2 linked regions of the Lytechinus pictus genome follow. The protein of the gene in region 2 purifies or fractionates together with the protein of the main gene of each other region. This does not show direct contact. Links are inferred from orthologs where the notes say so. Each region holds a gene or a part of one and is shown on either strand. Other genes may lie near its edges.

Region 1 (7,476 bases), on a different chromosome or scaffold from region 2:
TGTAGTGAATTTGCAGGGGTGTGATGAGTTCAGCTTTAAAGCTAATTTCTCTTTTTTCTGTATTTTTTATTTGCAGAGCAGCTCATTTCAAATAAAAAAGAAATGTCCTGTATATGAGCTTTCGCATTCTCAGTTTTGTTCAAAATTTATTAAAATTATGTGTACTAGTATGGTGTCCAGTGTCCACAAGTCCCATCCCCCCCTCACGAGACCCGACACAATTTCTTTTAAAGCAAAGACATGCCTACACCCCTAAAATAGTTGCCATGGCATGCACACATTAAAATTCTACTGTTCAGTTAGTTTCAGGAGAAACAGTACCAACAGCGGCTGGCCTTGTATTACTCAACATGCATACATATATTGAGACATCAGAAAATAATTTCAAAAAACTTTGCAACATCATTCCAAAGCCAAAAGTGATGAAAATAGAGGGGTTTTTTTTTTCTCTCTGAACTACATATGCTCAAAATAGCTGATCAGTGATTTTGAGAATTATCATACTTAGCTTTTCCCACAGAAAACACACCTTGGGTAATGAATTATGATACCATTTTCAAGTGAATTTCACATGCGGAGAGGGGTGCGATCGAAAGTTGATCGTAAAAAGAAAACTTATCTCGGTAATTTATTTTTTGTAGGTAGATCTATTTGTGTAGATCTATGGTGGAAGTTTGATAAATTTCAAGAAATATGATTGAATGTACTGTAGATCTATAATAGTATGACTATAAACAGTGATTGGTAGTAAATATATGATCCACTAATATACTCTAGCCTAGCCTAGGCCTACTTGATCATGCACGAAAATTTGACAGAATTCAGAATATAATTAGAGGTCTAGACTCCGACTATAGATCTAGATCTAAAGCCACATACAACTTTTCCATCCTAAATCTGGCAATCCCTGGCATAATTTCGTGAAATAGGGAACACAGCAGTGTCTTTATTCGGTCACACGCATCGGTTCTCTAACGTCACTCACACGTATTGCGAGGTTAATATACTAACCTCCCACCATGAACCGCGTTTGGCAGTGGATTTCTAACTAGTAGTGGGTCGCGCGTGCTGCGATCCCACTTCTGGCAGTAGAGGCGCACGGCCAATATGGGAGACTCTCTCCAATAGGGGAGACAATCTCCCACATTGGAGACATAAGGGCCGTCTGCACCATCCCGAGTTTTCAAATTAGCGCGCTATTTCTGATCCGGCAAATTATCCCGATCTGAAAAATCTCGAGATAGTTGGCGGTGGAGACGCAATTATCGCGCTAGTTCGTAGGATTAATCTCGAGATTGCAATCCCAAGTCAACTCGGGTTTATTTGCAAAATAGCGCGCTATTTTACGAATTATCCCGCTAATTCGTCGGTGCAGACGCACTCGAGATTGGACTCAGGGTAATTTATTCATGACGTCAGTCCATAATGCAATTCGCGTTCCACTTCCGCCTTGGTCAAAACATAAACACGTGCGAAAGTCAACTTTATACATGCGAATAGCGTTCATCAATTGCCTAATAAGCAACGATGGTGTCCCACCAGTGAATGGATTTTGGGAGAGACCAGACCGAAGGGGGAGGCGCTCATCGACGATGGTCATATTCAATAACAACACTGACAGCAGTGTTGTCTTATTCCTTCGCAAAATGTGAGCAAATAGCATTTCTTTCCTCCTTCTCTCCCTCTCTCTCTCTCTCTGTCGTTGTCTCCTACTCATATTTAACGAAGAATACATCACTTCTTCACTCGCTGGGCTGAGAGGATTGTTGCATAACACCGGTCGAATTCGGCGAAAGTGCTAGTGAAAGGAGTACATTGCTTGCATATCGCGGGAAGTTATTCAAAAGCGCGGGCCGTTGAAACTCCAAGATCCGAAAGTGCGCATGCTCGAAATATCGGGTTTGTTGCCTCGCTCGAGCAGGAATCGCTGTCTTGCGATGGTGCAGACGGGGTTTCTTGAATCTCGAGATTAATCGCGAAGTGGGCCGATCGGGCTAAAATCTCGAGATTGAGCAAACTCGGGATGGTGCAGCACCACCTTTGCTTTGCAAAAGGACAAAAGAAACAACACCAACAATAGCATGATTTTTTCCATCCAAAATTTTGTCTCACTGAGGTCAGAAGCCCATTTGTTTTGTGTGTGATTGACAACGAAAATCCTTATCAAAACAAAAGTAGACGGTGAATTTTTAAAGTAGACGGTGAAAAGGGGCAATTTTTCATGAGGAATCTCCTTAGCACATTTTTATTTGCCGCCAAGGTAATCCTTTTGCAGCAAATGTAAACAAAGGAAATTGGTCTCCAAAACTGGAGACTGTCTCTGAAATTGGATAGGGGGGGCCTACCCAAATTCTTTACAAAAGTCTCTGATATTGGAGATAATCTCCCACATTGGAGACAGTCTCCAATATTGGCTGTGCGCCTCTACTGTCTGGTGTCCACAACACACGACTTCTTATCATCTATGGCTTGATTTTTCTGTGTGCGGTGGCATGTAATAAACCCTAACGTAATCCACCTCGACTCTGCTGACTAACGTTTAACTTTAACTTTAAATAATTAATGTTAATGTTAGAACTTAAAGTGCACGCGAACAAATAAAATAATCGACGAGTGGTTCCCGAAACCACAATTTGGCCCTAATTTTTAATTTTTAATATCTTCTAGTTCAAGATCACATAATTTATTTTTTTTTGCTTTTGGTAGAGTGGGCATGTATATGAAAGTCCCCTCCCCCCCCCCCCCCCCCCCACAAAAAAAGGCAGCGCAGCCGCAGGAATTCAGCGCACAGCGAACAAAGGATTTGGCCTTTGGCTTTGGGCTGACGCCGGGCAGGGGATGCGTTCCGCGACGTGCCACACACTGCACAGACTGACTGTGTCATGTCAGCGAGTGTGTCTTTTCCTACCACTAATTTGAGGCAAAATATCAATAAAACGAATTTTACTTACTTCAGAACCAATCATATATTGCTCTCCTCCTTCTTCAAAATGGAAGACATCGGGCTTCTTCCCGTATGTTTTTAGAGGTGTCCCCATTTTGTATCCTTTTCTTTCGTACTTTCCTTTAATATCAGCGCAGCCGAATCGAAATCACGAATGTTATCGTGAATGGTATTGGCGAATTTACTTCAGCGCCGCGCCAGCAATTAAAAAGAAAAAAATTGAAGGGGGTCAGTGAAGGCCCCACACCGCGGGGCACCGAATTAATTATTTACTAGATGATAGTACCGTTTTTCCACCCTACTTGATTTTTTTCGATTCAATCAATCCAATTCAATTTCAATTTAATAGTCTACGATTTAATTATAAATGAAAAAAATATATCTTCCACTGGCTTTCTCTTTTTTTTGCGGGGGGCAGATTTTACCAGAATGAGCCACAACAAGGGCATCATTTTAGTGAAATAACGGGGCATGTGTATAACTTAGATGTGAATATTAAATCAATGAGGCTTTGGGGAGGACTGGCACTGCCATTTCAATGTGGACACTGTGAAAGTACACAAAAGCATGTATATAAAAGAGGGTTATCACAGCGAGGAATGTAACGTCATATAGTGACAAGGCCAAAATCAAGAAAAACAGTTTTCTACCCTATCATGACAGTGATATATTTCAGGCATTTTAGGATTAAAAAAAGACATGACAAAATATTTGGTTAGATATCTGATTGAGGATTATGACTTGTTCAGGGTCCATTTTGGAAGTCCATGTGTAAAAGCATATGGCATCCACTTTGATATGTCACGAGACGTATATGGTCTTCATGAGTTTACTCCAGTTTGTAAACTCACGTTTTGCTTTGTTGGTATTTGTTTGCTCTCTCCCTCTCGCTCTCCCTACCTCCCTCCCTCACCTAGGAGCGGCCTCATCTCTCTATCCCCTCTCTCTACCCTCCCCTGTTTCTCCACCTTCTATGCATGCTTCTATCATGATAGTTGAAGAAACAATGTTTGTGAGTCAATTGGACACAAGGACCTATAACACAATCAGTTTTGCGGGGCACACAACTCGAGATGTATTAAAGGACAAGTCCACCCCAACAAATAGTCCACCTGAACAAATCAAGAAAAATCCAACCAGCATAACACTGAAAATTTCATCAAAATTGGATGTAAAATAAGTTATGACATTTTAAAGTTTCACTTAATTTCACAAAACAGTTATATGCACATCATGGTTGGTATGCAAATGAGGAAACTGATGACATCATCCACTCACTGTTTCTTTTGTATTTTATTATATGAAGTATGAAATATTCTAATTTTCTCCTCATTGTCAGGCTATTGAAACAATGATTAATTCCTCTTGAACATGTGGAATTAGCATTATTTAATACTATATGGTTCAGTCAACTTGGTTCTTATTGTCAAATCTGTAAAAAATGAAATAATGTATAAATCAAACAATAAAGAACAAAAGAAATAGTGAGTGATGGACATAGACTCATCATTTGCATGACACCGACTTGTGCATATCTCTGTTTTGTGAAAAATAAGAGAAACTTTCAAATGCAATAACTTTCTTATTTTACATCCGATTTTGATGAAATTTTAAGCGTTATGCTAGTTTGATTTTTCTCTATTTATTCAAATGAACATTTTCTTTGGTGGACTTGACCTTTAAAGAGTCAAGTCTGGTTCACGAAGTAAAAAACAGAGCCTCCTACTTGTAATTGGGAGTGTAGAGTCGTCATCGACTTATTCCCATGCAAATCAACTGTGAATATTAATTTCTATTTTTCAAGTCTTGACAAATCAGATTTTATGGAGCTTTTAAAAACACGTTTTATTACTTCAGGATGCCATCTTTCAATCCGAGGCAGTTTTTAGCCCTGCAACACATAGGTTTGCAATCTGAATGCAAATATAAAAAAAAGGCTCTAATTGGTTTCTGCTCAATATCTGAAACAAAATACACATGCAACAATGTTCTTGACTGGCCAATGCCATTTAGCAGTTGATGGCAAACCTTTGTGTCACAGAGTCCTGGGGAGCATTTCACGTTTGTTTCATCCAACAAACCCCATTTTATCTGATGGTTACCATAATAACAGTGCCTCTAAGCCAATCAAAATCTAGGAAAGATGTCAGATCTGTCAACTTGATAAAACACTCCCCTGTTCTTGAACATACTGCAATAACAAATTATACATATAAAAATCATATCTGCAGACAAGATTATAGCATGGCAAGGAATTTATTAGAGTCCAATAAATGTATACAAAGTGAAGCTGAAAAATAATTACACATTCTGGAGTCTTTGTTTCTCTCTCTCTCTTTCTGTTTTACATTGCTATCTAATCTGCTACTTATTTTAAGATTTTAAATGACAAAAAAATTTGAGTTCATGTACTGCATTCTGGGTGAATTAATCAACATCATAAAACATCGTACGGACACTATGATACATATGGTATATAGTCCACATAAATCATTTATAATACTAATGTGCAATACACAAGTAATTATTTCATTGATTTTTAAGCTTTGCATCATTATCAAACAAACATACACACTTAAATAAAATGAAACATTAAGGATTAAGATGATCAATGTGTGAAACAAATAAAATAAGACTATTTTGATTCTTTACATGGCGAGGATAACATAAAGCATGAGCAATAACGTTACTTAAGATGTATATAGAAGATAAACATAAAAAAGGGAAAAAGGGTATTCCATTCCACCTTACTAATGGGTGCTTGCACAAAATGAAAATGAGACGAGAGTCCTGAAAGAGAACAGAATAAAAATATCAACATAAATGGCCTTTACAGGCTCATTCACATCTTCCACACACAAAAAAAAAATTGATTCTTTATATTTTCAATAAACACAATCCAAAATGCAAAAAAAAATGTCCTGTGCTTACATGCTGTTTTCATTCCCATTTTCCTTTTTATATTCACATAGACATTAAAAAAGATAAAGAAAATTATTAATAAAAAAAATGGCATCACATATGTTAAATGTTTGAAATCACTGGCTATATACTGTCTTGACTGGTACAAGTAGTATAGACACATATCTTTTTACACGTGTATATTTGGCCTCCAACTTATGATTGTCTGTGGAACCATAGACATATGGACAAAAGTACACTATTCTTCATTTTCCATTGGTAACAAATATAAACTTAGTGAGAGGTGGGAAACATACACATACCAAAGTAGATTCAATTGGCATCCCATATACAGTCAAACCTTCTTTAGCAAAAGCATGTGTAGAAATACAACCTATCTATAATGACCACAAATTTGATTTCCCTTGAATATTTTTCCCCACTGAACATGCAATCAAGGAATCTTCCATATCTATAGATAAATTCAGTTTGGGTGCTGTTCTTTTTTTAAATTTCTAATTTGGATCTTCAACATGATTTATGCACTACATGCATTTACATAGCAACACACCTTGCTTATTGCATAATTTATTGAAAATGCTTTCATTCTTCTTTGGAATCCCCCCCCCCCCAAAAAAAAAAAAATAATAATAATAAATAAATAAATGTATAAATAAAATAAAAATAAATACAGTTATGGCTGCTATAAGTAAATGTGCTCTGTAGTTGAATTCATCTTAGACCATGTGTTCATAAAATACAAATTTCTTGTCTCCTTTAAGTATTCTTTATATACAGGTTTCAATGAATAAAAAAAAAATCAACTGTGTATACAACCTCTATAAAGCAAGCATAATCTGTTTCACCATTAAGACTTCATGAGAAAATTGGACAACCAATAAAAAGTATTACTTTCTCCTCAATTTAACTTAAAAATTCAGTATGTCCAACTAAATTAATTGATTTATGAAATGGAATAAAAAAAGTTATTTTCAAATAAATCATGATGTTGAGATTTCAAATGATACTCATCTTTTTCTTCAAAATAATTTGATGACCTGTTGTATTCACCACACTTTACAAGTACAAAAATGAAACATATTTGAATTATTAAAAGAAATATTAACAAAGGAAAAAACAGAGGTAATGCGACAGCGATTCCAAAGAAAATGATTTATGAAGATAAAAAAAAAATTAAATAAAACCTGCCATAAAAAGAAAAAAAAAATGGCTAACCTGCCATTAAGGCAACAAAAGTATCTACCCAACATGTCTTTCAGTAGCTTTGGTTACAATACATATCACACTCATACATGTAATAACATTGACATTTTTATAAATGTAAATCAGTTCATATCACTCAAAATACCCATCTAATGGTATCACTTGAAAAGAATGGAAAACCCAAGAAAATATTGAAGATACAAAAGAAATCTTCTGAGCATGATTGATTTTATGTGTAATGAATTCAAAACACTCCCTAAATTGTACCTAAAAATTTTCATATTTTGGTGACTCAACATGAACACACTGCTTATCATATACCATACTCTATTCTTTCAAAGTTTCCAGCCACACGTTTTTGCACAAGTGTATGAGCGCTTGTATACATAATACATATATATCTATAT
Region 2 (7,313 bases):
CCGCTACACTACGGCTACGCTACACCTACCCGAATATCAAGGTACATATACAAAACTCGCTCTGCTAAGGTGTCACTTTATGGGGGGAATATCAAACTCATGCAACAAAATGACCTTACAATTCATTTATAACAACTCATCTTACATGTACCACGGTACATTTCACAAAGTTTCATTTCTTTTTCATGCTTCTATCAGTTTCAAATTGGTGATTTAGAGCCAGTATCGGTTTCCTCACACATATTAATTCACTGCCGATTCCAACATCTCAAACGCAAATTGTGCATGCGCAGAAATCACAGCTCAATTCATGAATATTCATGAGTAGGACTATAGATCAAGATCTGATCATGCAAATGCGCATGCGTGCGTTCGGAACTTGTCGCTCGCATAGATTGGCCAGGATATCGATAATTCTAATGGGAAAGCCTTCATGAAAGCCTAACTCAACGAACGTATGTCAGGGCAGCAACAAATGGCTGCCAGTTTTTCCTCTCCGGCAGAAAAATTCAAAAAATAAGGAACAAATCATCGGTAACATATATTTTTGAAATTTTATTTGAAAATGCATTGTATCAAAAGAAAGATTAGAGTCTAAAGAAAATAGTGGACCATCGTTCAAGATAATATAATGTCATTTAGACCTAAAAAAAAAAAATCTTGACAAAACACTCTACTATACTTGAGGTAGCTGCTGGGCATCATTTTTAATGCCCATTTATAACATTTATTTAATGTTAGACCTAAATATGATGGTGGTCCCCAAGTCTGGGCACCTAACGATTTGAGTTAAGATTTAACATGAATTTCTTTTTATTTCACAAAATCTTTCAATTAATAATGTTCCTCACATCATTATGATTTAGTGTGCCAAATATCTCATAAAAATTTGAAAGAAATATATGATTTTCTTAGAAAAAAAAACTGGGGCAGTAATTTTCAGATTGAACAAAAAATGGTGCCCCATGTCTGCGCACCAATCACTTTGCACGCGATTCTGGGATTTGATGAGAAAGGCTGCATTTTGAGGCCGTCGCAAGAAATGCTCAAATTTCATTATTTTTCCACCATTGTGAGTCTGGTTTTGTAAAATAATTTCTGTCTATGCATTAGATGTGTGTGTTCGTTGCGTATCTTCTTTTACTAGAATCGTGCAGATACGCGTATGAACAGACAAAGGGGACTGCGCATACTTTATAGGGGAACTTGCCATACATGTACCAATTTTGCCTGTTAATTATGTCTGCCAAACTAGCGTACCATGCCACAATTCATAATGCACCGGGCTAAAACTGAAAATTTACACACAACTAGGGTGACCAGACGTCCTGTATTTCCCGGGAACATCCCATATTTTGCTCCTTTGTCCCGGCAAACCCTTCCCCGGACGCCTATTTGTCCCGTACTTCAGAATATTGAACAAAATATAGTTAATACATTTAATAATAATAACATTTCATCAAACAGATGACGAAGCAGAGACGACAATAAAATCGATAACTAAACTTTTGCAAGTTCTGCGGTGATTTTCTTGCTAACCCAATACATGCACAAACGAACTGGCCTCCTGCCTGTGTGTGGCTGGCTACTAGCTAGGCATGTAGGATCGGAGCAGATTCTCAATGGTGCAAACAATGACATGATAAACAGTTTTCCACCAAAATAATCACAAAATCAGCGGGAAATTTGTATAATTATATTATGGATTCTCAGATTGCTGATTTGGATATGTAATCGGAGGGAACAAGCTATTGAGTTTTCATAACTAGATCCAGCTGTTTCAGCTTTTGTTTTGAGTCTTGTTGCGTACATGTATGATGCGGCGATGTTTCATCTAATTTTTAAGTTGACAATGTTTCACTTTGAAATTTTATTCATTTCTAAAACATTTTAGTTTTCTAAAATTTTAAAAATATGTTAAAAAAAAAAACCAAATATCATTATGATTTTTGTTAGATGATTGGATTGTTTTTGTTCACTTGAAGTTTGAACTTTTTCCTCTTTCTTTCCTATCCTTCTTTTTTCATCCTTCTATCCTTCCTGCTTACCCTTTTTTGTTCCATCTATCTTTAATTTCCTATCTTTCTTTTCTGATCCTTTCTCTCTCTGTTCATTTTTCTTTCTTTCCTTTTTTTCTCTTACCTGCCTTCTTTAATTTCTTTTATTTCCTCTATTCTTTCTTTCCTTAAACTTTTCTTTGCTTCCTTCTCCCTTCTCCTTTTTTCTTTTCGTTCTTTCTCTCCTTCCATTATTTTCTTTTTTTCATTCTCTCCTCCCTCTTTTTCCTCCTTTCTTTCATTCTTTATTCTATTTTTCCTTCTAATTCTTTCTTTCTTTCCCTCCCTTCATTCCTGTTTTCTTCTTTCTTTATTTTTTTCTTTCAAATGAAGGAAACATTTTTCTTTCCTTCATTCTTTCTTTCTTCCTCCATTTTTCTTTCTTTCTTCCTCCATTTTTCTTACTTTTTTCTCTCCTTCTTTCACATTTAACTATTCATCTTCCCTTCCTTTCTTTTTCTTTCTTTCCATATTCAATTCAAAGTATGACGGAAACCTTATTTCTCTCTTATTCTTTCTTAGTTTCATCCTTCTTTATTCTAACTTTGTTTTATTCTTTTTTAAGTTTTTCCTTCATTTTTTCTTCCTTTCTTTTCAAGCCATTTCATCTCTTTTCTTTCATCTTTTCATTCTCTCCTTCATTCTTTCGTTCACCCTCCCAATTCTTTATATTTTTTTCACAAGTCTAACAATAACACTGTGTAGCCTTCTTTGTAATTCACAAAATCATGTCATTCAATCACACACAATTTGCCAATGCACAAGCCAAGCCAAGCTCTCGATCGGTTCCTCGTCATACAAAATTACACGACTCTTGCTTGGCCTGGACCATTTTCGAACAAGCACCACGAAAGATCCTTGTACAGTACATCCACAACATGTCTTAATTTGAATTCAAGAATAAACATAGGTATTTATCAGGTGATTTAGATATGAACAAACTCTCTTACCGATTAAAATCGACTTTTAGCTTTCGGCGACCCACTTTTATCGCACACAATACTCCGCAACAAGCCTTTTGTTCAGTGAATTTCGGAAAACTGAAGAAGCGCAGCATACATAGCATGCAGCGCATTTCGGTCGGTAATTTCCGGAAATAATCGGAATTGGTGTGATTTTCTTGCCCATCTGATGATCTGAAGAAAAAGATAAAATCCAAGATGGGGCACTGTCATTACAAGATAGACACCTCTCTCTTAGGTGATCCCTCTACTGTTTTGGAGATTCCCAGAACCAATAGAACAATCCAAATCCTGTAAGTTAGAGATTTAGCATCAAATTGGATGGAGGTCATGGAGCGGTAGTCATGAATTTTATGGAGAAAAAAAGAGAGATTTGAGGAGAAGACGATTTGTGAGTCATGCATATTTTGCCAAGTGCCAAGTGCTCCCAAACCAAAATACTTCAAATTAATTTATCTTACACAAAATTACATACATTTATAATCAGGGGCCGTGGAAGTGGGGGGGGGGGGGGTGCTGGGGGCTTCAGTATCGATAGGCGGCACGGTAGGCAATGATCTAGGCATCCTACTTTACTACCACAATAGTCTGTACTAGTAATTAGTTAATTACAGACTGCTTCTGACGAAGTCTTCATAAAGACGAAAGCTAAAGCTAAGAATGGTTTCCTGCGTCATCTTTTGAGTTGTCCTCATTTCATTATGTTTCATATACTCACACCTCAAGAGCGTTTGGTACAAGTAGTCATCACATTATATATAGGCCTGTGTATGTGTGTGTGGGTGAGTTTGTTTGTTTTGTGTGATCAAGCGCCTTTGGAACGTCAGTGATTCATGATTTTGCCCCCCCCCCCCCAATCTGAAAAATGGACCGACGCCCCTGCTGCAAACCATCTTCTACTTTGTTTGGCGAGTTAAAGATAATTAATGTGGCTAAAAAAATCCAGATCTGACAAAGGTAAAGGCATACTCCATGCTGAAAATATTCATATCTCAATAAATAGAGTAAAATTCACAGAGCAAAATGCTGAAAATTAAATAAAAATCGGATAACAAATAAACAAATTGAATTTTAAAGATTTGCATTATTCCGCGGTGAAACAGTTTTAGGCATGTCTTTATGAATATTCATGAAGTTTGTCATATCCGCACTTCTTTTGTATTTATTATTTGAAATAAGGTTACTAGTAATTTATTTTAAAATTTTCTACCAAGAACTAAATTAGTTCTTTTTGGATTGACACGATTATTAAGTGCATTAATTATACATTGCTGCAACCTATTTTGCTATAATGGAGACACATCATTTACACATGTGTGAAAAAATGAAACAATTATGATTTCATGTAATAACATAAGAAAAGGGAGAGTGGGCGAAGTGACATCATCAGCCCACCTAATGAATATTCAGGATGACGTGCATACTATTTTCACAAAATATTGCTAAATTTTAAATTTCAATAACTTTGTTATTTGTTATCCGATTTGATGAAATTTTCAGCATTTTGCTCTGTGAATTTTACTCTATTTATTTAGATATAAATATTTCAGCCCGGATATCCCTTTAAATACGACTTATTATTTATTCTCTTTTTTTTCTCTATATTTTTCAATTTTCCTTTTTTTCACTACTTGAAAATTATAGAGCCCCCCCCCCCCCCTTCCCCGATGCTTAAACCCCTCTTATTATCTTCATTTTTATTATTATCTTCATCGTGGGTGGGGAAACCGTGGGGTGTGTTTATACGAGAGCTGTATTAAAATCTTCAAATCGACATGCCAGGGGCAAACAAGTTTTATAGGTAAAACTTTACGCCCACAACAAGGTATGTTCTGCCCACTGAACTGGGAATACGTATTTCCAGTTCAGTGGTTATGCCACTGCATGACAATTAGAAAAAAAAATTAAGCGATAACTTCAGCTGGTATGACTTCTATTTCGCTTTCCAGTCGCTTTAATATGTACTTGCTCATATATTTGTCATTAAAATGCTGCAAAACAGAAATAATATAATAAATTATTTGTAATATTATAATCAGTTTATTCTTTAAGGACAACGATATTATTTATGTACCACTAAAGAAAATTAAAGTGATGGTCTCGGGGATCAGACTATCTTGTTTGTATTATATTCACGCAATAATTCCTTGAAGCTATCCTACAGGTCTGCGATAAGACTGTGCTCCTTTCTTTATTTACATTTTGTAGACGTACAAATTCATTGGTGCCCTTCATGTTATACAAATCGAAAAACTACAATCTTTCACGTGGAAATGTTGACAAACCCCATCGCTTTCAGATATGGAAATGTCAACAAATGACAAGCTTTCTAATGATAATGTTATATATTGGTTGAAAAGAGCAGAAGAATGGGTTTCAATGAAACAGAATCATCGAAGATCAACGCCAGCGCGGGAAATATCGCAAAGCAGTGAACAACTTCAAACCTTTCTCTCGGCGGTGCTCAACCGATTGATCGCAGTGAGTATTGGGAGGGAGGGATGCACAGGGATGCATGCATGTCTCGGATGTCTTGGGCTTGAGTGATGCAACTGCAAGTAACATAGCTGCCACGCCCACTCCCCACTCAAATGGCCATGGCCTGGGCATGGCGAAGTGACTATACGAGTCAAGTCAGGCAATGACAATTCAATTGCAATGCATTGCCATATAATTGCATGTATTTAATTAAGCCATAAATGATAAGAAAATGAATTTATCAAATACGTGAATCTATATTATAACTTGAAAATTTTTATTCTTGTGCGATTTCAAAGTTTTTATTTAACTGACTAGGGCCTACAATAGCTTCTCACCTGAATTATGTCTGTCAATGTTTTTCATTTTATTTCTTTATTACTTGAATCAAGTATTAAACTATTCATTTATTTTTTTGGCCTTATCGTGAAATTTGTCACCTCTCTTCTTGTGTGTGTCGGTGTGTGTGCGCTCGTTGTGTACAAAGTCAATGGGAGTGGAAAGATGTCACCCCCGCTGACGAAATAAACGGCAGTGAATGGACTGGTGACATAAACCACGATAATGCCATTTTTTTTTTATAGTAGTAGACAGTAACTCAGTAATAATTCAATATTTGGACAGGATATTTTCAATGAAATTCTACAATCATTCATGCAAGTTTTGGATGGTTTGACCTTTGGAGACTATATGCTTAAGTGTGCTGAGTCTGACTCTTGAATTCTTCAATAAGTAATAATAATCTGAAGATTTAAAGGGAAAGTTCACCCTGAAGAAAAGTTTGTCGTAAAACTAACAAAAAGAATAATAAAATATATTGGTGAAGGTTTGAGGAAAATCTGTAAAAGATTATAAAGAAAGTTATTAGAATTTAAAATTTTTGATTTGTGATGTCATAACCGAGTAGCTGCCCCATATGTTATTGTATAGAAATGCATAAATTTCCTCTCTCTTTTTAAATGGTTCCTGATGACTCATTTTTGTTTTCTATTCATGATCAGGTGTGAAATGATTTGTCTATTGATATAAAAAGGTACAGTAAAAACCATTCCAAATTTTCTGAGAAAATGACATTTCATTGATTTTTACCATTCGCTATGTAGGAATGGTGCTCGCCTATGACGTAAAAAAATCAATGAATTGAAATTCTAATAACTTTTTAATTCTTCAAATGATGGATTTTTTTTTCAAACCTTTGGCAATATAATTTTTTTTTCCTGCTATTTTTACAATAAACTTTTGTCAGGGATGAACTTCCCCTTTAACTGATATATAGTATATGAAGTATATGAAATGAAATTTTAGTTCAGTTTTAATATTAATAAGTAAACAAAAAAATTGATGAAATGTCAGTAGACACATTGGACCTATAGCTATCTCCAATCTAGCACTGAAAATCTGCCTAGAACAAAATCTCAGCTCAGTCTGCCTCAAAACAATGTCAATAACATGTTGGCTGCTGAAATGGTATCCAGACCAACAACTGTTAATTGATTTCATAGAATTTGCTTTTTTTTTCATCTGAGATTTGCCCCATATTAGCCAAGCCTGCGTATTGATGGCATGTACAAAAATCCAGAATCGAACAATTTGGCCCGTATTCTGAAGTCGGGTTTAACTTAGACCATGGTCTATTCTGTGCTAAAATTATGGGGAGCCAAAAAAAAAAAAATCTGTTTATATTGTATATTTCGTATGTTTACTATTTTGTTTCCTTTTGCTTCCATAATGAGGAAAAATACTTCAGTTATCATTCCCAGACTATTATGAATGATTTGGATGTCATATGAGTCAATAAATTGGATGTGTCCTGTTA

The links. The genes of interacting proteins can lie anywhere in the genome.
Region 1: the proteins of probable global transcription activator SNF2L2 (region 2) and SWI/SNF-related matrix-associated actin-dependent regulator of chromatin subfamily B member 1-like purify together in Drosophila melanogaster (affinity purification with western blotting; 7 studies listed by BioGRID, with this or other methods). This does not show direct contact. The link is inferred for Lytechinus pictus from reciprocal best matches to the Drosophila melanogaster genes brm and Snr1.

The regions. Positions count from the first base shown.
Region 1 is NC_087246.1:18,201,584-18,209,059, reverse strand, and holds the start of SWI/SNF-related matrix-associated actin-dependent regulator of chromatin subfamily B member 1-like, read right to left. Parts: upstream 3,116-7,476; 5' UTR 3,039-3,115; coding exon 2,952-3,038; intron 1-2,951.
Region 2 is NC_087255.1:22,750,261-22,757,573, reverse strand, and holds the start of probable global transcription activator SNF2L2, read right to left. Parts: upstream 3,100-7,313; 5' UTR 3,008-3,099; intron 1-3,007. Other genes in the region: Fanconi anemia group C protein-like, read left to right, coding at 5,321-5,500. UniProt on the Drosophila melanogaster protein: Transcriptional regulator. Acts as a coactivator, assisting one or more dedicated transcriptional activators of ANTC and BXC homeotic gene clusters. Can counteract the repressive effect of Polycomb protein.